3 linked regions of the Anolis sagrei genome follow. The protein of the gene in region 3 interacts with the protein of the main gene of each other region in a pairwise test. Links are inferred from orthologs where the notes say so. Each region holds a gene or a part of one and is shown on either strand. Other genes may lie near its edges.

Region 1 (7,407 bases), about 120 Mb from region 3:
GGCTTCGGAGGGTCCAGGCCGAGGGGAAGGGCGTCCCGGGGCCTCACCTGGGATACAGGACAGAGCTGTGGCGCCTCCGGAAGCAGCTGGCTCCTTCGCTTCCTTCAACGCCGCAGGAGGAAGGTGAATGCGTCTGCCACCCCCGGGAATCTAGTGCGCATGCGCTTAACCAAGTGCACTTCCTCTTCCGCCTCGTCCGACGTTCTGCAGACTTTCCGTGCATAAGGAGTGAGTCAGGAAGCAGAGCTCTGTTAGGGTCAGCCCCCCCCCCCACCTTTTCAGTCACGTGACGGGCTTGCCAGATAATAGATAGAGATTCCTTGTTGTGTCTGACCTATGGCAACCCTAAGATTACTCTTATCTAGAAATGAGTGAGTTGCCCAAGGTCGCTCAGGCCAGCAATCAGGAGGGTTAATGCAGCTGTACTTCACACCAGGGGCATAAATACTACTACTACTACTTCTACTACTACTCATCATCATCATCATCATTATATAAATAAAAATGTAATGTTCGTTTGTGGGATGAACAAAACTCAAAAACCAGTGGGCCGATTGACACCAAATTTGGACAGCATACACCTAACAACCCAAACTATGTTCTTCACTCAATTTTTTTTAATTTTGTCATTTGGGAGATGTAGTTGCTGGGATTTATATTTCACCTACAATCAAAGAGCATTCTGAACTCCACCAATGATGGAATTGGACTAAACTTAGCACACAGGGCTCCCATGACCAACAGAAATAAAACTGGAAGGATTTGGTGGACATTGACCTTGAGTCTGGGAATTGTAGTTCACCCACATCCAGAGAGCACTGTGGACTCAAACAATGATAGATCTGGACCAAATTTGGCACAAATATTCCATATGCCCAAATATGAACACAGATGGAGTTTGGGGGAAATAGACCTTGACATTTGGGAGTTGTAGTTGCTGGGATTTATAGTTCACCTACAATCAAAGAGCATTCTGAACTCCACCAATGATGGAATTGAACCAAACTTGGCAGATAGGACTCCCAGCCATAGATATAGATAGATAGATAGATAGATAGATAGATAGATAGATATGATTCTCACACACACACACAGATATAGTATCATAGATTTGAAAGAGACCCCTAGAGAAGGACTATGATATGTTGCATGTTCCAGGGTGGGCAAACCAGACACTCTCCACATCAACACTGACAAAGAAACAACAAGAAATACTGTTTACTCACAAGCCTAAAAGAATTACATATATTAGAAACTAATACTTTCTAATTACTTTATTTTCCAGATCACCAGACTGGGCCACAGCAACGCGTGGCAGGGGACAGCTAGTAAATAATAATAATAAACTTTATTTATACCCCGCCACCATCTCCCCGATGGGGACTCGAAGCGGCTTACATGGGGCCAAACCCGAACAACATATTGTTGTTCATTCGTTCAGTCGTTTCCAACTCTTCGTGACCTCATGGACCAGTCCACGCCAGAGCTCCCTGTCGGCCGTCACCATCCCCAGCTCCTTCAAGGTCAATCCAGTCACTTCAAGGATACCATCCATCCATCTTGCCCTTGGTCGGCCCATCTTCCTTTTTTCTTCCATTTTCCCCAGCATCATTGTCTTCTCTAAGCTTTCCCATCTTCTCATGATGTGGCCAAATTACTTCATCTTGGCCTCTAATATCCTTCCCTCCAATGAGCAGTCGGGGTTTATTTCCTGAAGTATGGACTGGTTGGATCTTCTCGCAGCCCAAGGCACTCTCAGCACTTTTCTCCAACACCACAGTTCGAAAGCATCTGTCTTCCTTCGCTCAGCCTTCCCTATGGTGCAGCTCTCAAATCTGTAGATGTCTACAGGGAATACCATTGCTTTGACTATGCGGATCTTTGTTGGCAGTGTGATGTTTCTACTCTTCACTATTTTATCGAGATTCACCATTGCTCTCCTCCCAAGAAGTAAGTGTCTCCTGATTTCCTGGCTGCAGTCTGTGTCTGTAGTAATCTTTTCACCTAGAAATACAAAGTCTGTCACGGCCTCCACGTTTTCTCCCTCTACTTTCCAGTTGTCAATCATTCTTGTTGCCATAATCTTGGTTTTTATTATGTTTAACTGCAACCCAGCTTTTGCACTTTCTTCTTTCACCTTGATCAGAAGGCTCCTCAGCTCCTCCTCGCTTTTGGCCATCAAAGTGGTGTCATCTGCATATCTAAGGTTGTTAATGTTTCTTCCAGGATTTTCACCCCAGCCTTGCATTCCTCAAGCCCCACACATCGCATGATGTGTTCTACATACAAGTTGAATAGTTTGGGGGAGAGTATACAGCCCTGTCATACGCCTTTCCCAATCTTGAACCAGTCTGTTGTTCCATAGTCAGTTCTTACTGTTGCTACTTGGTCCTTATATAGATTCCTCAGGAGATAGACAAGGTGATTTGGTATGCCCATTCCACCAAGAACTTGCCACAATTTATTATGATCCACACAGTCAAAGTCTTTAGAATAGTCAATAAAACAGAAATAGATGTTTTTCTGAAACTTCCTGCCTTTCTCCATTATCCAGCGGATATTGGCAATTTGGTCTCTCGTTCCTCTGCCTTTTCTAAACCCAGCTTGAACATCTGGCAACTCTCTCTCCATGTATTGCCGGAGTCTTCCTTGCAGGATCTTGAGCATTACCTTACTGGCATGAGAAATAAGGGCCACTGTACGGAAGTTTGAGCAGTCTTTCGCATTTCCCTTTTTTGGTATGGGGATATAAGTTGATTTTTTCCAGTCTGATGGCCAACAACATTGCCATCAACAACAACAACATATTACATCAAGATAAAACCAAAACATAAACAAGCAACATCATCAAAATTACATTAAAAATTAAATAACAAAATAGCATTACAATCAACAAAAAGCACAGACATAGTAAACAGTGGACGGGCCACTTGTACAGGCTAAAATGTTAAAAACTATAATGAGATAAAAATAGGAGCAAGTTATTTGCCAGGTGCTCATAAAGATACACAGGGTTGTGAAACCAAACTTCCCATTTGGAGGGGGGGGGGCTGTATTTCAGTGACAGAAGCGTTGAGGGGAAGCGTTGATAAAGCTGCAGAATTCTGGGGAACGTAGTTTAGGATGTTGCAATTTTAGAATTTTTTAATACTGGTAGCCAGATCTTGTTCATTTTCATGGTTTCTTCCTTTCTGTTGAAATTGTCCACATGTTTGTGGATTTCAGTGGCTTCTCTGTGTAGTCTGACATGGTAGTTGTGAGAGTGGTCCAGCATTTCTGTGTTCTCAAGTAATATATTGTGTCCAGGTTGGTTCATCAGGTACTCTGCTATGGCTGACTTCTCTGGTTGAAGTAGTCTGCAGTGCCTTTCATGTTCCTGGATTCTTGTTTGGGCAATGCTGCGTTTGGTGGTCCCTATGTAGACTTGTCCACAGCTGCATGGTATACGGTAGACTCCTGCAGAGGTGAGAGGATCCCTCTTGTCCTTTGCTGAACGTAGCATTTGTTGGATTTTCTTGGTGGGTTTGTAGATTGTTTGTATGTTGTGTTTCCTCATCACAAGTCTACATAGGGACCACCAAATGCAGCATTGCCCAGACACGCATCAAGGGACATGAAAGGCACTGCAGACTACTTCAACCAGAGAAGTCAGCCATAACAGAGCACCTGATGAACCAACCCGGACACAGCATTTTATTTGAGAACACAAAAATGCTGGACCACTCTCACAACCACCATGTCGGACTACACAGAGAAGCCACTGAAATCCACAAACATGTGGACAATTTCAACAGAAAGGAAGAAACCATGAAAATGAACAAGATCTGGCTACCAGTATTAAAAAATTCTAAAATTGCAACAGCAAAAACAGCAGAGAGAAAAACAGGCAGAGACATCTAATCACCTTTCAAGAAGAGTTTGCTCCAGGCACAGTCAGCCCATTGTATGCTAATCAAGGTGGTCAGTTGAAAGATTCACACCTAGCCCAACTTACAAAAGCCCTTTGTCTCACCCTGGTCATTCCACAAATATATAAACCCCCTTTTTTCCCTTTTTTCCAACAGACCTCACTACCTCTGAGGATGCTTGCCATAGATGCAGGCGAAACGTCAGGAGAAATGCCTCTAGAACATGGCCATATAGCCCGAAAAAACCCACAAGAACTGAGTGATTCCAGCCATGAAAGCCTTCGACAATACATATTAGGTTGTACTTTGGGGGACAGTGGGGGGCTCAGTACAAAGTAGCGAGAAGGAACAACACCGGCCCCCAGCGGAAGAGCTGTGGCTCTTTTGCGCATGTCGAGAGGACCAGGCCCCGCCCGCTTTCTTTGACAGGCCTCCCTCAGGAAAGCGCGCGGGAACACGGCCGGAAGTGCGCGCGCCGTCACGCCGACGTGAAAGGCAAAAGGTCGGCCAGAGGGGCGGGGCTCCGCGCGCGCACGCTCGCTGCCTGGCTCGCCCGCGCGGTCGGTCGGAGCGGCCTGAGGCCCATGTGGATCGACGGCGGAAGTCGCCCAACCGCCAGCCCCGAGTCGAGGTCTCCGGCCCCCGGCAGCTATGAAGGGGTGAGTGCGGCGCCGGCCGTCCCAACCAGCACCCGGCGGCGGCGGTGGTTGTGTGCCGTCCCCGCCCGTCTTCGGGAGTTGAGGCGAGGGGGCCCGCTCGTGTTGCCGGGCCTCGCGCAAAGACAGCGGGTGGGAAGAGGGGGGGAAGGAAGGCGCGGGAGGCCTGCGCGGAGGGGGGCCCTCGCGCCAGTGGAACACGCGGGAACGGTTTCCATAGTGGGCTTTCCCACACAGACATGTAACCCGCAATATCAAGGCAGGTAATCTATATAAATAAAAATGTAATGTTTGTTTGTGGGATTAACATAACTCAAAAACCACTGGACGAATTGACACCATATTTGGACACAAGACACCTAATAACCCAATGTATGTCCTTCACTCAAAAATTGATTTTGTCATTTGGGAATTGTAGTTGCTGGGATGTATAGTTCACCTACAATCAAAGAGCATTCTGAACCCCACCGACAATAGAGTTGAACCAAACTTGACACACACTTCTCCCATGACCGAGAGAAAATACTGGAAGGGTTTGGTGGGCAGTGTCCTTTGGTTTTGGAGTTGTAGTTCACCTACATCCAGAGAGCACTGTGGACTCAAACAATGATGGATCTGGACCAAACTCTACACGAATACTCAATATGCCCAAATGTGGAGTTTGGGGAAAATAGAATCTTGAAATTTGGGAGTTGTAGTTGCTGGGATTTATAGTTCACCTACAATCACAGAGCATTCTGAACCCCACCAACAATAGGATTGGGCCAAACCTTCCACACAGAACACCCATGACAACCAGAGTGGGCCACAGCAACGCGTGGCAGGGGACGGCTAGTAAATAAATCAAAATATAATGTTCGTTTGTGGGATTAACAGAACTCAAAAACCAATGGACGAATTGACAGCAAATTTGGACACAAGACACCTAACAACCCAATGTATGTCCTTCACTCAAAAAAATTGATTTTGTCATTTGGGAGTTGTAGTTGCTGGGATTAATATTTCACCTACAATCAAAGAGCATTCTGAACCCCATCAACGATGGAATTGAAACAAACTTGGCACACAGTTCTCCCATGACAAACAGAAAATACTGGAAGGGTTTGGTGGGCATTGGCCTTGTGTTTGGGAGTTGTAGTTCACCTACATTCAGAGAGCACTGTGGACTCAAACAATGTAGTTGTAGTTCACCAGAGAGCACAGCATGATGGATCTGGACCAAACTTCGCATGAATACTCAATATGCCCAAATGTGTACACTGGTGGAGTTTGGAGAAAATAGAATCTTGACATTTGGGAGTTGTAGTTGCTGGGATTTGTAGTTCACCTACAATCACAGAGCATTCTGAACCCCAGCAATGATCGATTTGGGCCAAACCTCCCACACAGAACTCCCGGAGTGGGCCACAGCTAGTCTTCTATATAAATAAAAATGTAACGTTCGTTTGTGGGGTTAACATAACTCAGAAACCACTGAACAAATTGACACCAAATTTGGATACAAGACACCTATCAGGCCAACGAGTTACCATCACATATAAAAACACTGAGAAACACAGCAGAAGGGACTTAAAAAGCAAAAAAAAAAAAAACCCCAAAGATATGCTGCAGCACATGGCAACCAAAACACACAATAGCATATCCACACACTCTTCCGGACTACGTCTCCCAGCATCCCCTAGACCAGGCCCTTTAGGAGAGGAGGAGGATCCAAATGCACTGCTTCCAAGATGCAAGCTTGCTTCTCCTTGGATTTCTTTGAGAGCATCCCTATTCCTGGACTGCAACTCCCAGCAATTCTCCAGATAAATAGATTAGATCCGTGGTTCTTAATCTGTGGGTCTGGAGATGTTTTGGCCTTCAACTCTTAGAAATTTAATTTAAATTTAAAACTTTATTTATACCCCACTACCATCTCCCCATGGGACTCAGTGTGGCTTACATGAGGCAGAGCCCACAATACAAACAATAACAATACAATACAAAGCAGTTAAAATAAATCTCATAACACAAAAAGCATAAACATTAAACAAAATACAGTGCACAATTCAAATATATGGCTGGGCCAAATGTAGTTAAAGTTTAAAAAATAATGCTAGGCATGAACAAGATACAAGAGGTAGGGCATTGACAGAAACATACAAGCAGTCCTAAATCGATATAAAGTGCTTTTGGGGGACATAATGCTAAGGGTTCATTATTTTGGGAAGGCACACTGGAACATCCACGTTTTCAAACTCCTCCTGAAGACTGCCAGAGATGGGGCATGCCTGATGTCCTTAGGGAGTGAGTTCCAGAGTCGAGGGGCCACCACCGAGAAGGCTCTCTCCCTCGTCCCCACCAATCGTGCTTGCGATGCAGGTGGAAGCGTGAGTAAGGCCTCTCCAGACGATTGAAGAGATTGTGTGGGTTTGTACACAGAAATGCGGTCACGCAGGTAGGCAGGTCCCAAACCATTCAGGGCTTTGTAGGTAAGAACCTGCACCTTGAATTGGGTCCGGAAGATAAATGGCAGCCACTGGAGCTCCTTAAACAGGAAGGTTGACCGCTCCCTGTAAGGGGCACCAGTTAACAACCTGGCCACTGCCCTAACAGCTGGTAAACTGGCTGGGATTTCTGGGAGTTGTAGGCCAAAACACCTGGGGACCCACTGGTTGAGAAACACTGGATTAGATAGAGGTAGGTAGGTAGATCAGAAGAACTGCTGGGAGTTGCAGTCCAAAAATAGGTAGAGAAGGAAGAAAGAAAAGGGGGGGGGGGAAGGGAAGAGGATGAGAAGGAAAGAGAATGAAAGAAAAAAAAGAAAAGGAAGGAGAGAAAGAAAGGAGGAGGGAAGGCTGGCC
Region 2 (7,294 bases), about 28 Mb from region 3:
GGAGGGATTAAGGAAAAGCCTATTAAATGTCAAATTATGTTATGATTTTACAAATTAAGCATCAAAATATCATGTTTTACAACAAACCAACAGAAAAGGCAGCTCAATACACGGTAACGTTATATAGTAATTAATGCATTTATGAATTTAGCCCCAAAACATCGCAATGTATTGAAATAGCTGTGGATCTGGGTGAGCGGCAGACTGTGTTGGATAATATAGAAAGTTGGATAAGAGAAGGTTGGATAAGCAAAACTCTCCTGTTACGAAATGTAAAGGGGACATAACATGTCTCACGCAAATCTATCATACATTTGTTTTAAAATATAGGCAGTCCCCAATTTATGAATGAGAGGTTCTGTAGGTTTGTTCTTTAGTTGATTATATTTGCAAGTCGGAACAGGTGCATTTTTAACTCCAGCCAAGTTGTAAGCTGCCTTGAGTCACCTTCAGGTTCGAGAAAGGCGGGATAGAAATATCATAAATAAATAAAATTATATCCATAGGTAGATAGATAGAATTGTGTGTGTGTGTGCCAGGCACTGAATATTTGTCTTTGTATGTATAAACTGCCCTGAGTCCCCCGTGGGAGATAGAAATTTATTATTAATTATTATGAGCGTTGGATAGGTAATATATAAGTTGTATGTTTTGATGTCTGTGCCCCTGGTCAGAAAATTTCAACTCACTTTCTGTCCCTGTGAAAATGGGATTTTGAGAATTTGGCTTGTTGTGGAAGCAAGGATTGGTGATAAACCTTTTGTGGAGAGACCTTTTCCCCATGATAATAATTTTCAGGATGGGATTGACATCTTCTGGGAATGGTATGACTGTGTATGCATTCCTGCCTCGCAAAATGAGGTTGGACTAGATCGTGTCTCTCCCAACTCTACAATTAAGCACAAAATTGCCGCATTTCCTTATGGCTACATTACTATGCCAGGAAGAACTGCAGCTCCTCAATGTTTTGTGTATGCCAGGATAGGGAACTAGTCAAACAAGAAGGATGAGCATCACACCTATAGCAATTAGATCAAATAGGGATTTGTCTTCTTAGGATTAGTTCAGATTCGGTGTTGCTGTTTCTTATTTTACCTGATTTATAGAATTCCCCCTTCCTTGATATACTGTCCATTCCTGAGTTACAAACATCTGGCTTAGAAACGGCTCATAGTTAAGAATGGGGGTGAGACAACAGGAAGTGAAATTAATCTACTACTAGGAAGCAAAATTCACTCTGGGAAGAGTTATTATCATGTGGAAAAGATGTCTCCACTGGAACTTTAGCACCAATCCTTGTTTCCACAACAAGCCATTTTTTTTTTCAAAATCCAGTGGTCCCAATGACAGAAAGAGAAATGAAATCTTCTGAAGAGGGGCACGGACAAGAAAACAAACACCACAGGGGTGGTAAACCTTCCCTATGGAGGGAGCAAGTTTGTTTTCTGCTTCCCTGGAGACTAGGACGCGGAACAATGGCTTCAAACTACAAGAAAGGAGATTTCATCTGAACATGAGAAAGAACTTCCTGACTGTGAGAGCCGTTCAGCAGTGGAACTCTCTGCCCCGGAGTGTGGTGAAGGCTCCTTTTTTGGAAGCTTTTAAACAGAGGCTGGATGGCCATCTGTCAGGGGTGATTTGAATGCAATATTCCTGCTTCTTGGCAGGGGGTTGGACTGGATGGCCCATGAGGTCTCTTCCAACTCTTTGATTCTATGATTCTATGTTATCCAAAGCTATCTATCTATCTATCCACGCCCTCTCCCCAGTATTACAGCAGGTTAAACCACTGAGCTGCTGAACTTGCTGTCCAAAAGGTTGGCGGTTCGAATCTGGGGAGTGGCATGAGCTCCCGTTGTTAGCCCCAGCTTCTGCAGTTCGAAAACTTGCAAATGTGAGTAGATCAATATGTACTGCTTCTACAGGAAGGTAACAGTGCTTCATTATTATTATTATTATTATTATTATTAAACTTTATTTGTACCCCGCTAGCATCTCCCAAAGGATTCGATGCGGCTTACACAGGCCGAGGCCTCAACAACACAACATAACAACACAATCAAGCAAATCAAACAATTAAAACAAAATAAAGCAAAGTAAACAACAGGCACAGTACATTAAAACACAATAAAACTGGGCCGGGCCAAAAAAGTGGGTACAAGGATTAAAAGTGCTGAATTGACAGGAGGTGTATAAAGGGTTTCTAGGGCAAGTGCGATGTGCGGTGTGCAGCAATCATTGGTTCTGGTAAAGTGTTTGTAGGACTCGGTAATGGAGATTTCCTAATTTGGGAAGGCGCATCGAAAAAGCCAGGTTTTTAAGTTCTTTCTGAAGATAGCCAAAGAAGAGGCCTGTCTAAGGTCTTTGGGGAGGGTGTTCCAGAGTTGGGGGGCCACTACGGAAAAGGCCCTGTCCCGCGTCCCCACCAAGCGCGCTTGCAACGCCGGTGGGATCACGAGTAGGGCCTCTCCAGATGACCGAAGAGAACGCGTGGGTTCGTAGATGGAAATGCGGTCACACAGGTAGGCTGGTCCCAAACCGTTCATGCAGTCATGCTGGCCATATGACCTTGTAGGTGTCTACGGACAATGCTGGCTCTTTGGCTTAGAAATACAGATCAGCACACACACACACACACACACACACACCCCAAGTCGGACACAACTACACTTAATGTCAAAGGAAACCTTTACCTTTTAATCAACTCTCAAAAAAAGATTCCCCCCAGGCACTTCCAAGCCATTAAATGCAAATCAAGGTGGTCAGTTGAAACATTCTCACCTAGCTCCTGCAGACAAGAGTTCCTTGTCCCACCCTGGTCATTCCACAGATAAACTCATTTTCCTAGTTTCAACAGACCTCACTACCTCTGAGGATGCTTGCCATAGATGCAGGCGAAACGTCAGGAGAAAATGCCTCTAGAACATGGCCATATAGCCTGAAAAAACCCACAAGGAATGAATACTTACTAAGTTCCGGTCTCCCACCCAAATACTCACCAGGGCTGGCCCTGCTTAGGGAGATTCAGCCACACATCACACCCTCCTTCCTCAGCTGCCCTCTTCCTCCTCTTTTTGCCATGACGTCACGCTGTTCTCCAGGCCCGGGGCCTTATTTGCATACTCGCCCCTCATTGGGCGAAAAGGCGTGATTGACAGTTTGAGCCGGCCAATGGGCTTTCCTGCCGCCATCTTTGGTAAAGGCAAGCTAGGAAAGGGCACGAAGCTTCCGAGCGGCGGCTGGGGATGGCGTCATCACGCCGTCGCTGCCGCCAAGAAACGAAACCTGGCGTTGTTTTGGGTCAAGATGTCGGGCGTGTGAGTAAATGGCTGAAAGGAGGGGAGCGTGAAAGGAAACCAGGCAGCTTGGCCTCGCGTTCCCTCGGTCCTCTGGGAGGCGAGCGATTGGCTGCCCTGCGATGACGTCAGAGCAGGTCAGTACAAGTGCCGGGAAGGGTCAGAACAGAAAGCGAAGAGGTTTTGCTTCTTTTGGTTTTGTGACCTGAATCCTCCCCAGTGGGTGCTGCTGCTGCTGCTGCTGCCTAGGCTCTATTAGTATTATTGTTGTTGATAATAAGAACAATAGGATTCGCAGTAATAATAACAATACTAAGATATTCACAAATATATTTAGAAAAGGCAGAGATACCAGAGGCCAAATTGCTGGATAATGGAGAAAGGCAGGGAGTTTCAGAAAAACATCTACTTCTGCTTCATTGACTACTCTAAAGCCTTTGACTGTGTGGATCATAATAAATTGTGGCAAGTTCTTGGCGGGATGGGCATCCCAAGCCACCTTCTTGGCAGAATGGGGTTGGACTGGATGGCTTGTCTCTCTCCTGAGGAATCTGTATAAGGACCAAATGGCAAGAGTAAGAAGTGACCATGGAACAACAGACTGGTTCAAGATTGGGAAAGGTGTATGTCAGGGTTGGATACTCTCACCCAACCTATTCAACTTGTATGCAAACACATCATGCGATGTGCGGGACTTAAAATCATAGAATCATAGAGTTGGAAGAGAACTTATAGAATTATAGAATCCTAGAGTTGGAAGAGACTTCATGGGCCATCCAGTCCAACCCCATTCTGCCAAGAAGCAGGAAAATTGCATTCAAAACACCACTGACAGATGGCCATCCAGGCTCTGTTTAAAAGCTTCCAAAGAAGGAGCCTCCACCACACTCTGGGGCAGAGAGTTCCACTGCTGAACGGCTCTCACAGTCAGAAAGTTCTTCCTAATGTTCAGATGGAATCTCCTTTCTTGTAGTTTGAAGCCATTGTTCTGCGTCCTACCCTCCAGGGAAGCAGAAAACAAGCTTGATCCCTCCTCCCTATGATCTCCCCTCCCCAACGTGGGAGCACCCACATTGGCAGTCTTTAGGAAGAACTTGAAGACCTGGCTATTCCGATGTGCCTTTCCAGAATAGGATAACCCCAGCACTACGTTCCAGAAGCACTTTCTTAGAGTTTAAGACTCTCTGCACATTGCACTTGCCCAGAATCCCAACATATCACCTCTCACACCCAGCACTTTTAACCTGTACCCATCATTGGCCCGGCCCTGGTTTGTTGCGTAATAGTGTAATGTTTTTGTTATTGCTTTATGTTTTTTAATTTGCTTTGTATTGTATTGTTATTGTCTGTTGTTGTTGTGTTGAGGCCTTGGCCTTTGTAAGCCGCATCGAGTCCTTCAGGAGATGCTAGCGGGGTACAAATAAAGTATAATAATAATAATAATAATAATACATGGCTATCATGTCTCCTCTCAGCCTTCTCTTCTTTAATTACTTATTAATCATCTTTAATTACTTATTAATCGCCCTCCATCCGAGATGCTCTAGGCGATTTACATAGCGAAATTGTACAGAATAAAATACAAACAAACAGATATTAATAAATTAACATAGATCAAATGCCCTTTGTATGGATGGATAATAATATTGAGGATAGTTTTGACAGTGTGGTGAATGAATTAGAACCAGAAATCCTGAGGAGTGAGGTTGAAAGGACCTTAAGAAGCATTGCTAACAACAAGGCAGCAGGAGATGACAGGATCCCAGCTGAACTGTTCAAAATCTTGAAAGATGATGCTGTCAAGTTGATGCATGCCATATGCCAGCAAATATGGAAAACACAAGAATGACTATCCGAGTTGGAAAAAATCAACTTATATCCCCACACCAAAAAAGGGAAATGCGAAAGACTGCTCAAACTTTCGTACAGTGGCACTTATTTCACATGCCAGTAAGGTAATGCTCAAGATCCTGCAAGGAAGACTCCAGCAATACATGGAGCGAGAGTTGCCAGATGTTCAAGCTGGGTTTAGAAAAGGCAGAGGAACGAGAGACCAGATTGCCAATATCCGCTGGATAATGGAGAAAGGCAGGGAGTTTCAGAAAAACATCTATTTCTGCTTCATTGACTATTCTAAAGCCTTTGACTGTGTGGATCATAATAAACTGTGGCAAGTTCTTGGTGGGATGGGCATACCAAGCCACCTTGTCTCTCTCCTGAGGAATCTGTACAAGGACCAAGTAGCAACAGTCAGAACTGACCACGGAACAACAGACTGGTTCAAGATTGGGAAAGGCGTATGGCAAGGCTGCATACTCTCACCCAACCTTTTTAACTTGTATGCAGAACACATCATGCGATGTGCGGGGCTTGATGAATGCAAAGCTGGGGTGAAAATTGCCGGAAGAAACATTAACAACCTCAGATATGCAGATGACACCACTCTGATGGCCGAAAGCGAGGAGGAGCTGAGGAGCCTTCTAATCAAGGTGAAAGAAGAAAGCGCAAAAGCTGGGTTGCAGCTAAACATCAAAAAAACCAAGATTATGGCAACAAGAATGATTGACAACTGGAAAATAGAGGGAGAAAATGTGGAGGCCGTGACAGACTTTGTATTTCTAAGCGCAAAGATTACTGCAGATGCAGACTGTGGCCAGGAAATCAGAAGACGCTTACTTCTTGGGAGGAGAGCAATGACCACTCTCGACAAAATAGTGAAGAGTAGACATCACATTGGCAACGAAGATCTGCATAGTCAAAGCAATGGTATTCCCCGTAGTAACCTACGGATGTGAGAGTTGGACCTTAGGGAAGGCTGAGCGAAGGAAGATCGATGCTTTTGAGCTGTGGTGTTGGAGGAAAGTGCTGAGAGTGCCTTGGACTGCGAGAAGATCCAGCCAGTCCATCCTCCAGGAAATAAAGACCGACTGCTCACTGGAGGGAAGGATACTAGAGACAAAGGTGAAGTACTTTGGCCACATCATGAGGAGACAGGAAAGTTTAGAGAAGAGTATGATGCTGGGGAAAATGGAAGGAAAAAGGAAGAGAAGCCAACCAAGGGCAAGATGGATGGTGTCCTTGAAGTGACTGGCTTGACCTTGAAGGAGCTGGGAGTGGTGACGGCCGACAGGGAACTCTGGCGTGGGCTGGTCCATGAGGTCACAAAGAGTCGGAGACGACTGAACGAATGAACAACAACAGAGACATCAATTAAATTGCATTTCTGGCATTGCAGAAGAATTGGCTGATACCTGCTGAAAGAGTACCTTGGTTTTCTGGATGTTCAGTGAGAGGCCAAACTTTTTGTATACTTTTTTTTTTTTGTCGTGACTTGAGAAATTGCAAGTCGCTTCTCGTGTGAGAGAATTGGCCATCTGCAAGGATGGTGCCCAGGGGACGCCTGGATGATTTGATGTTTTATCATCCTTGTGGGAGGCTTCTCTTATGTCCCCGCATGAGGAGCTGGAGCAGATAGGGGGAACTCATCCGCCTCTCCCTGGATTTGAACCTTCGACCTGTCGGTCTTAAGTCCTGCTGACACAGGGGCTTAACCCACTGTGCCACCGGGGGTTCCTTTGTTGTATACTTCTGCATAGGTTTTTAGTGTGGCTTGTAGGTCTTCTTCTGAATGAGCACTACATTATCATCAGCATATTGGAGTTCTATATCAGATGCTGTTGTGACCTTGGTTTCGGGTTTCAGTCTGCTGAGGTTAAATAGCTTGCCGTCTGTCCGATGGATAGTATCCACTCTGCTGGGAAGCTTCCCATCAACAAGGTGCAGTATCATAGCGATGAAGATGGAAAATAAGGTTGGGGCAATAACACATCCCTGTTTGACACCTGATTCCACCTTAAATGGGTCACTTTGGGAGCTATTGCTGTCCAAGACTATTGGTATCATGTCATCATGGAGGAGCCGCAGGAATTTTGGAGGATGGTCCAGAGAGCACTGCGATTCACTGTGTTGAAAACACTTCATATTTAAAATACATAATG
Region 3 (6,936 bases):
GGCCCTGATTGTTTCTTGTCTGAAATTCCCCTGTTTTTGAGTGTTATTCTTTATTTACTGTCCTGATTTTAGAGTTTTGCAGTGTTGGTAGCCAGATTGCATTAATTTTACACTGCAAATGAATCTTTTGTTAACTTAAAAGTTTGCCACCAGGAAAACAGGGAAGAAAAACCAAAATGCACTCTCCCTAACAAATCATTTGACTTATCCTGTTGCATCTTCAAATCCAATCCGATCCAGAGGTTCATGAACTTAGCAACAAAACCAAGTCCTATCAGGAAGCTCAAGGAAGCAATCCAACCCGAGACAAGACAACTCTCTCTCCCCGTTCACACCTGCACTGCTTCAGGAAACCTCTAGATGGCAACTTTACCTGCACAAAAAGCCCTGCAAAGCCAACCCAATGCCCAACGCAGAAGGAAGAAGTCTCTGGGCAGTGGCCAGATTTTCACTTACTGTAAGTTTGAGATGTTCTGGTAACAGATCTTTCAGCTGGGCAATGCATTCATTAATCCGATCTCGTCTTTTCTTTTCAATCAGCCGGTGGGGTAACTTGTAGGTCTCCTAAAAATCAACAGGTACCAAAAAATTATACAACCATTTCATCAGTTGAGAGGAAAAGTGATTTCTGAGCATAGTATTATCTGTCCAAATAGATTGGAAAAAATTATAAACATTTTCTTAGATCATTTTTTTTTGTTTTTTAAAAAACAGCATTACCAAACCCAAAGTTTATTGCAGATGATGTATTTTGATCATCTCCAGAAAATTATCTGATGCAACTATGAAGTGAGTTTCCTGGGCTGTATGGCCATGTTCCAGAAGCATTCTCTCCTGACATTTTGCCCACATCTATGGCAGGAATTTTCAGAGGTTGAGAAATCTATTGAAAACTAAGAAAGTCAGGTTTATATCTGTGGAATAACGTCCAGGGTGGGAGAAAGAATTCTTGTCGTTTGAGGCAAGTGTGAATGTTGCAATTGGCCACCTTGATTAGCACTGAAAAGCCTTGTAGCTTCAAAGCCTGGCTGATTGCTGCCTGGGGATCAACACTCAAAAACAGGGGAATTCCAGACAAGAATCAATCAGGGGCAATTAATCACCTCCCAACAAAGGATTCCCCCAGGTAGGAAGCAGCCAAGCTTTGAAGCTGCAAGGCTATTCAATGCTAATCAGGGTGATCAATTGCAACATGCCTCATCTTGCCTCAAACAGACAAGAGTTCTTTCTCCTACCCTGGATGCTATTCCAGAGATATAAAAACCTTGCTTACCTTGTCTTTGACAAACCACACAACATCTGAGGATGCCTGCCATAGATGTGGGTGAAATGTCAGGAGAGAATGCTCCTGGAAAATAGCCATACAGCCCGGAAAACTTACAGCAACTCAGTGATTCCGGCCATGAAAGCCTTCGACAACATATGAAGATATTGTTTTGCTGCATGATAAGGCAAATCCATGAGCATAATAACATTTTTGGAAAAATGAATACCCTCCACCCCACAAATAGAGTCTCCAAAAACAAATTTTGAGGGGCCATTGAAAATGAATGCTCTTTTGTATATGTTTGGGAAGACCATTACTTAATCTCAGAACGAAACTGGGTCAAAATTGAGTTGCTGTTGAGTTTTCTGGGCTGCATGGCTGTGTTCCAGAATCATTCTCTCCTGATGTTTTTCCCACATCTATGGCAGCCTTCCTCAAAGGTTGAGGGGTCTCAACCTCTGAGGATGACTGCCATAGATGCAGGCGAAATGTCGGGAGAGAATGCTTCTGGAACATGGCCATATAGCCTGGAAAACTCTCAACAATTCAATGATTCCAGCTGTGAAATCCTTCAACAACACATTGGGTGAAAACTATTCACTGAGGACGCTAAGAAAATACTAGTCAGTAAATAATAAATAAATAAGAAAAATGCTACGAATGTTCTGTATTTACCTTGCTGTCTTCGCCTCTTTTTAACCCTCTCCTGGGTTTATAAACTTGGTACATGTGAGCAAAGTCCAACCTGTTGATGAGCCAAAAGGAGAAAGATGTAAATGACTTGCAAGAATAATCCAGGAAGGTAGTCAATCCTCCCCATCCCTCTCCAAAACCTACAGAAGTAGCATCTACACTGCGGAATGAATGCAGTTCAAATGAATGCAGTTCAACGCCACTTGGCTCAGTGCTCGGGAATAAAGGGGGCTGGAGTTGTACTGCCACCTCCATAGCATTGAGACCTGGGCAGGTCAAAGTGGTGATAAACTGCATTAACTCTAAAGCGTAGACACAGTAGAGTGAGAAGAAAGAGGGCTAAGCTATAGAAAAGTTTGGAGAGAAGGAAAACAAGGGAGAGGAAATTGAGAGGTGTACTGCTTGTCCCAGGTGCAGAAAGTGAGAGCAGAGGTAGCCAAGGGAAGCACCATCCCAACCCAAGAGGAACCTGGTTGGAAAGCGATTTCAATCCCACACAGATAGATAGATAGATAGATAGATAGATAGATAGATAGATAGATAGATAGAGAGCTTACCCTGGCATCTCGTTGCCCTCCAACGTGGCCAGCTTGCCCAAGCAAGGCGGTGCTGGAGGAGGAGGAGGTTGGGCGCTGGGGATCCTTTCCATGGCCAACTGGGTGGCTTCTCCTTCCTCTTCTTAAGGTTGCCTCTCCTTCCTTCCTATCCTTCTCCCTCCGGTGAGCTGTTTTCCTCTAAGGATGGAGCCGAAGTCTCCAAGATCCCGCTTTGGGTCTCTCTCTCTCTGAGTCGGCTTTCCTTTTTTTCCTAACAGGACTTTCTCCTCTGGTGGTTCTCCTCTCTCTCTCTCTCTCTGGGTCAAAAGGAGAGGCGAGTTCTGTCTGTGCTTCAGGTGGGAGAGCCTTTGCGGCGCGTCTCTGCAGCGCCTCTTTCTCCTCCTTCGGTGCGGACGGAGGACAGAGCGATCCGATCCGCCCTGTGACTGACTTCAGGCACGTCTGGCCGCGGCTGCTTCTGAAGCCGGAGAGGGAGGGAGGAGAGGAGAGGAGAGGAGGAGGAGGAGCGGGCCTGCCTCTTCTCCCTTCCTCTGCCCCCCCCCCGTCCCTCCCCGCCTCCCTCCTCGCCTCCCTCCTCATCACATGAGCCTCACGTGTCGGACAACGCTCCGGCCTCCCTCCCTCCCTCCGCTGTGGCCAGGAGCTTCCCTGCCGCCGCCTCTGCAAACGTGACCCAGGGCTGCCCTGGGAGGGCCCCGGAGGAGGAGGAGGAGGAGGAGGAGGAAGGCCTGGCCCCACTGCAACTGCTCCGCTTATCCCATCGCATGAAGAAAGCCCTGGCCAAACTCCAGGGAGGACCCTCGACTTGGAAGACATCCTCCCCCCCCCCCAAGGGCCATCCAGTCTGACCCCTTGGCATGCAAGGAAAGCACATTCAAGGCGCCTCCCACAAAGGACCACCCAGCCCAACTTCCTGACACACAGCGAAAGGGACTGTCTAAGCACTCCCGACAGATGGGCATCCACTACAACCTTCTGACATGCAGGAAAGGCACAATCCAAGCACTCCCGGCAGATGGTCATAAAGTTCAACCCCCTAACAGACAGGGAAAGCACAATCAAAGTACTCCCGGCAGATAGACATCCAGTCTAACCTCCCAACATGCAGGGAAAGCACAATCAAAGCACTCCCGGTGGATGGCCATAAAGTTCAACCCCCTGACACGCAGGGAAGACACAATCGAAGCACCCTCGTCAGATAGCCATCCAGTCTAACCTCCTGACATGCAAGGAAAGCACAATCAAAGCACTCTCTACAGATGGACATCCAGTCTAACCTCCCAACGTGCAGGGAAAGCACAAAAACACTCCCGGTGGATGGCCATTAAGTTCAACCTCCTGACATGCGGGGAAGGCACAATCAAAGCACACCCGGCAGATAGCCATCCGGTCTAACCCCCTGACATGCAGGGAACTCTCTGCCCCGGAGTGGTGTGGTGGAGGCTCCTTCTTTGGAAGGTTTTAAACAGAGGCTGGATGGCCATGTGTCAGGGGTGCTTTGAATGCAATATTCCTGCTTCTTGGCAGGGGGTTGGCCTGGATGGCCCATGAGGTCTCTTCCACAATCAAAGAACTCCCTGAAGATGGACATCTAGTCTAACATCCTGACACGCAGGGAAAGCACAATCAAAGTACTCCCGGCGGATGGCCATAACGTTCAACCCCCTGACACGCAGGGAAAGCACCACTGACAGATGGACATCCAGCCCAAGCCTTTGACATGCAAGGAAAGCAGAATCATAGAATCATAGAGTTGGAAGAGACCTCATGGGCCACCCGGTCCAAACCTCTACCGAGAAACAGGAAAATCGCATTCAAAGCACTCCCTGCAGATGGCCATCCAGCCTTTGCTTGAAAACCTCCAGAGAAGGCGACTCCTAGGCAGTGTAGTTCTTCCTAAAGTTCGTCCTAACGTTTACACGGAATCTCCTTTCCTGCCATTGGAATCCATTCCTCCAAGGTGTCCTAGTCTCCCCAATGTGGCACCCTTTCACTGATTCCAAGGTGGCTGTCATGTCCCCTTCCCTCAGCCTTTTCTCCTGCAAGCTACACACCCCCAGCTCCCTAAACTACTCCTCATTGGGCTTGGCTTTCGGACCCTTGCTCATTGTGGTCACCCTTCCCTGCCAACATCCTGAAGTGCCCAGAAATGGACACAGTCTTATTCCAGGTGAGGTTTTTTTCGTGTCAGGAAACTGCAAGTCGCTTCTGGTGTGAGAGTATTGGCCGTCTTCAAGGACGTTGCCCAGGAAACGCCCGGATGTTTTTGATGTTTTACCATCCTTGTGGAAGGCTTCTCTCATGTCCCCACATGGGGAGCTGGATCTGACAGAGGGAGCTCATCCGGGCTCTCCCCAGATTCGAACCCCCGACCTGTCGGTCTTAAGTCCTGCTGGCACAAGGGTTTAACCCACTGCGCCACCGGGGGCTTTGTGACCAATAGGGTGGGGTTATGGCTTCCCTGGATCTTGACACTGGACTCCTCTTGAGGCAGCCTAGAATGGCATTGGCTTTTGGGTTTCTAGTGTGGGGAGGAGGCACCAGCCCTTTCAGGCAAAGACAGATCCCAGGCTTCCATAGGGTACAGCGGTGGCACTTAAAGTAGGCTCAACCTGCCTTCCCTGCCTGGAGCTCTCCAAAGGGGGACTTCCGACCAGGAGCGGCTTCGGAGTAAAGCCAACGCGTTGGAGTTCCGGAGAAGCAGCCGCGGCACCCTCGCTCCATCACGCAGCCACGCATGCGCACAGGCGTTGTCACTGGAGAGGGGATTTCAGGAGAATGCCTCCCAGCTGCTTCTCTTACTTGTACGCAAGGCTATGCTGTGCCCTGCTTGCAAAAAAGAGTAGCAGGCATGCAGTCATTTGTTTTCCCTCAATGCTAAGACTCGATGGATGTGTCTAATGTAATACAATATAATACTACTACTAATAAATATATAATATAATTATAATTACATGTAATATAAAATATATAATATAATTATATATTTTTATATTACATGTAATATCTTCTATCTTTTCTATATAAATAAAAATGGAATGTTCGTTTGTGGGATTAACAGAATTCAAAAACTTCTGGACGAATTGACATCAAAATTGGACACAAGACACCTAATAACTCAATGTATGTCCTTCACTAAAAAAAATGATTTTGTCATTTGGAAGTTGTAGTTGCTGGGATTTATAGTTCACCGATAATCAAATAGCATTCTGAACCCCACAGGCCCGTAGCCAGGATTTCATTTCGGAGGGGGCTAAATTTTTTCAGGGGGGGGTTCGGGGGGGCGAGTTTCGGGGGGGGGGGCTGAGTCTGAGTGAAAGAGGGTCTAGCCTAGCAAACCTTTTGTATCATTACCCCAATACCCCCATGCATATGGGATATATTTATTTATTTTATTTATTTATTTAGTACACTTGTATACCGCTAATATCTCAGCCTAGAACGGCGACTCATTGCGGTTTACAACAATAAAACAATATTCCGAATAAAAAAATATAAAAACACATATATATACAATACACAGTATTGGGCCACCAATACAGACCAATGCATCTCTTAAATTAAAATCATAATCCAAATTCGTTGTCTGTAATTGCCAGTCCTTAGTCAAAACTTCATCGCATCGGATTAGCCAAATGCTTGCTCAAACATCCATGTTTTCAGTTTTTTTCGAAATACCATCAGCGAGGAGGCTGATTTTATCTCTATAGGGAGGGCATTCCAAAGCCGCGGGGCCACCACAGAAAAGGCCCTGTCTCTCGTACCCGCCAGCCGCACCTGTGAAGCAGGCGGGATGGAGAGAAGGGCCTCTCCCGAAGATCTTAGGGTCCTGGTGGGCTGATAGGCCGAGATACATTCGGATAGGTATGTTGGGCCAGAACCGTTTAGGGCTTTAAAGGCCAATGCCAGCACTTTGAATTGGGCCCGGTAGCTAATCGGCAGCCAGTGGAGCTGGTACAGCAGAGGAGTTGTATGCTCCTTGCGCCCTGCTCCTGTTAGTACCATGGCTGCCGCCCGTTGGACTAGTTGGAGCTTCCGAGCCGTCTTCAAAGGCAACCCCACGTAGAGAGCGTTGCAGTAGTCAAGGCGGGATGTAACCAGAGCGTGGACTACCGTGGCCAAGTCAGACTTCCCAAGGTACGGTCGCAGTTGGCGCACGAGTCTTAGCTGTGCGAATGCTCCCCTGGTCACCGCCGAAACCTGGGGATCCAGGCTCAGCGATGAATCCAGGATCACACCCAAACTGCGAACCTGTGTCTTCAGGGGGAGTGCGACCCCGTCTAACACAGGCTGTAGCCCTATACCCTGTTCGGCCCTGCGACTGACCAGGAGTACCTCTGTCTTGTATTGAGTATATATTGAGTATGGTGATCAGATCATGATATGAATAAATAACAGTTTAAATAATGCACCAGTAAG

The links.
Region 1: the proteins of BHLHE40 (region 3) and NAA50 interact in binary tests that used the Homo sapiens proteins (3 or more experiments, as listed by UniProt). The two-hybrid records come from large-scale screens. The link is inferred for Anolis sagrei from reciprocal best matches to the Homo sapiens genes BHLHE40 and NAA50.
Region 2: the proteins of BHLHE40 (region 3) and STK19 interact in a two-hybrid assay, tested with the Homo sapiens proteins (2 studies listed by BioGRID). The two-hybrid records come from large-scale screens. The link is inferred for Anolis sagrei from reciprocal best matches to the Homo sapiens genes BHLHE40 and WHR1.

What each region holds. Positions count from the first base shown.
Region 1 is NC_090022.1:165,332,971-165,340,377, reverse strand, and holds the start of NAA50 (N-alpha-acetyltransferase 50), read left to right. Parts: upstream 1-4,407; 5' UTR 4,408-4,559; coding exon 4,560-4,567; intron 4,568-7,407. UniProt on the Homo sapiens protein: N-alpha-acetyltransferase that acetylates the N-terminus of proteins that retain their initiating methionine. Has a broad substrate specificity: able to acetylate the initiator methionine of most peptides, except for those with a proline in second position.
Region 2 is NC_090022.1:18,154,346-18,161,639, forward strand, and holds the start of STK19 (inactive serine/threonine-protein kinase 19), read right to left. Parts: upstream 3,001-7,294; 5' UTR 2,971-3,000; coding exon 2,970-2,970; intron 1-2,969. Other genes in the region: DXO (decapping and exoribonuclease protein), read left to right, coding at 3,419-3,433. UniProt on the Homo sapiens protein: DNA-binding protein which is required for efficient transcription-coupled nucleotide excision repair (TC-NER). Acts as part of a TC-NER complex which assembles and interacts with RNA polymerase II (RNAPII) when it stalls at DNA lesions.
Region 3 is NC_090022.1:46,308,600-46,315,535, reverse strand, and holds the start of BHLHE40 (class E basic helix-loop-helix protein 40), read right to left. Parts: upstream 3,024-6,936; 5' UTR 2,610-3,023; coding exon 2,518-2,609; intron 2,013-2,517; coding exon 1,943-2,012; intron 565-1,942; coding exon 457-564; intron 1-456. UniProt on the Homo sapiens protein: Transcriptional repressor involved in the regulation of the circadian rhythm by negatively regulating the activity of the clock genes and clock-controlled genes.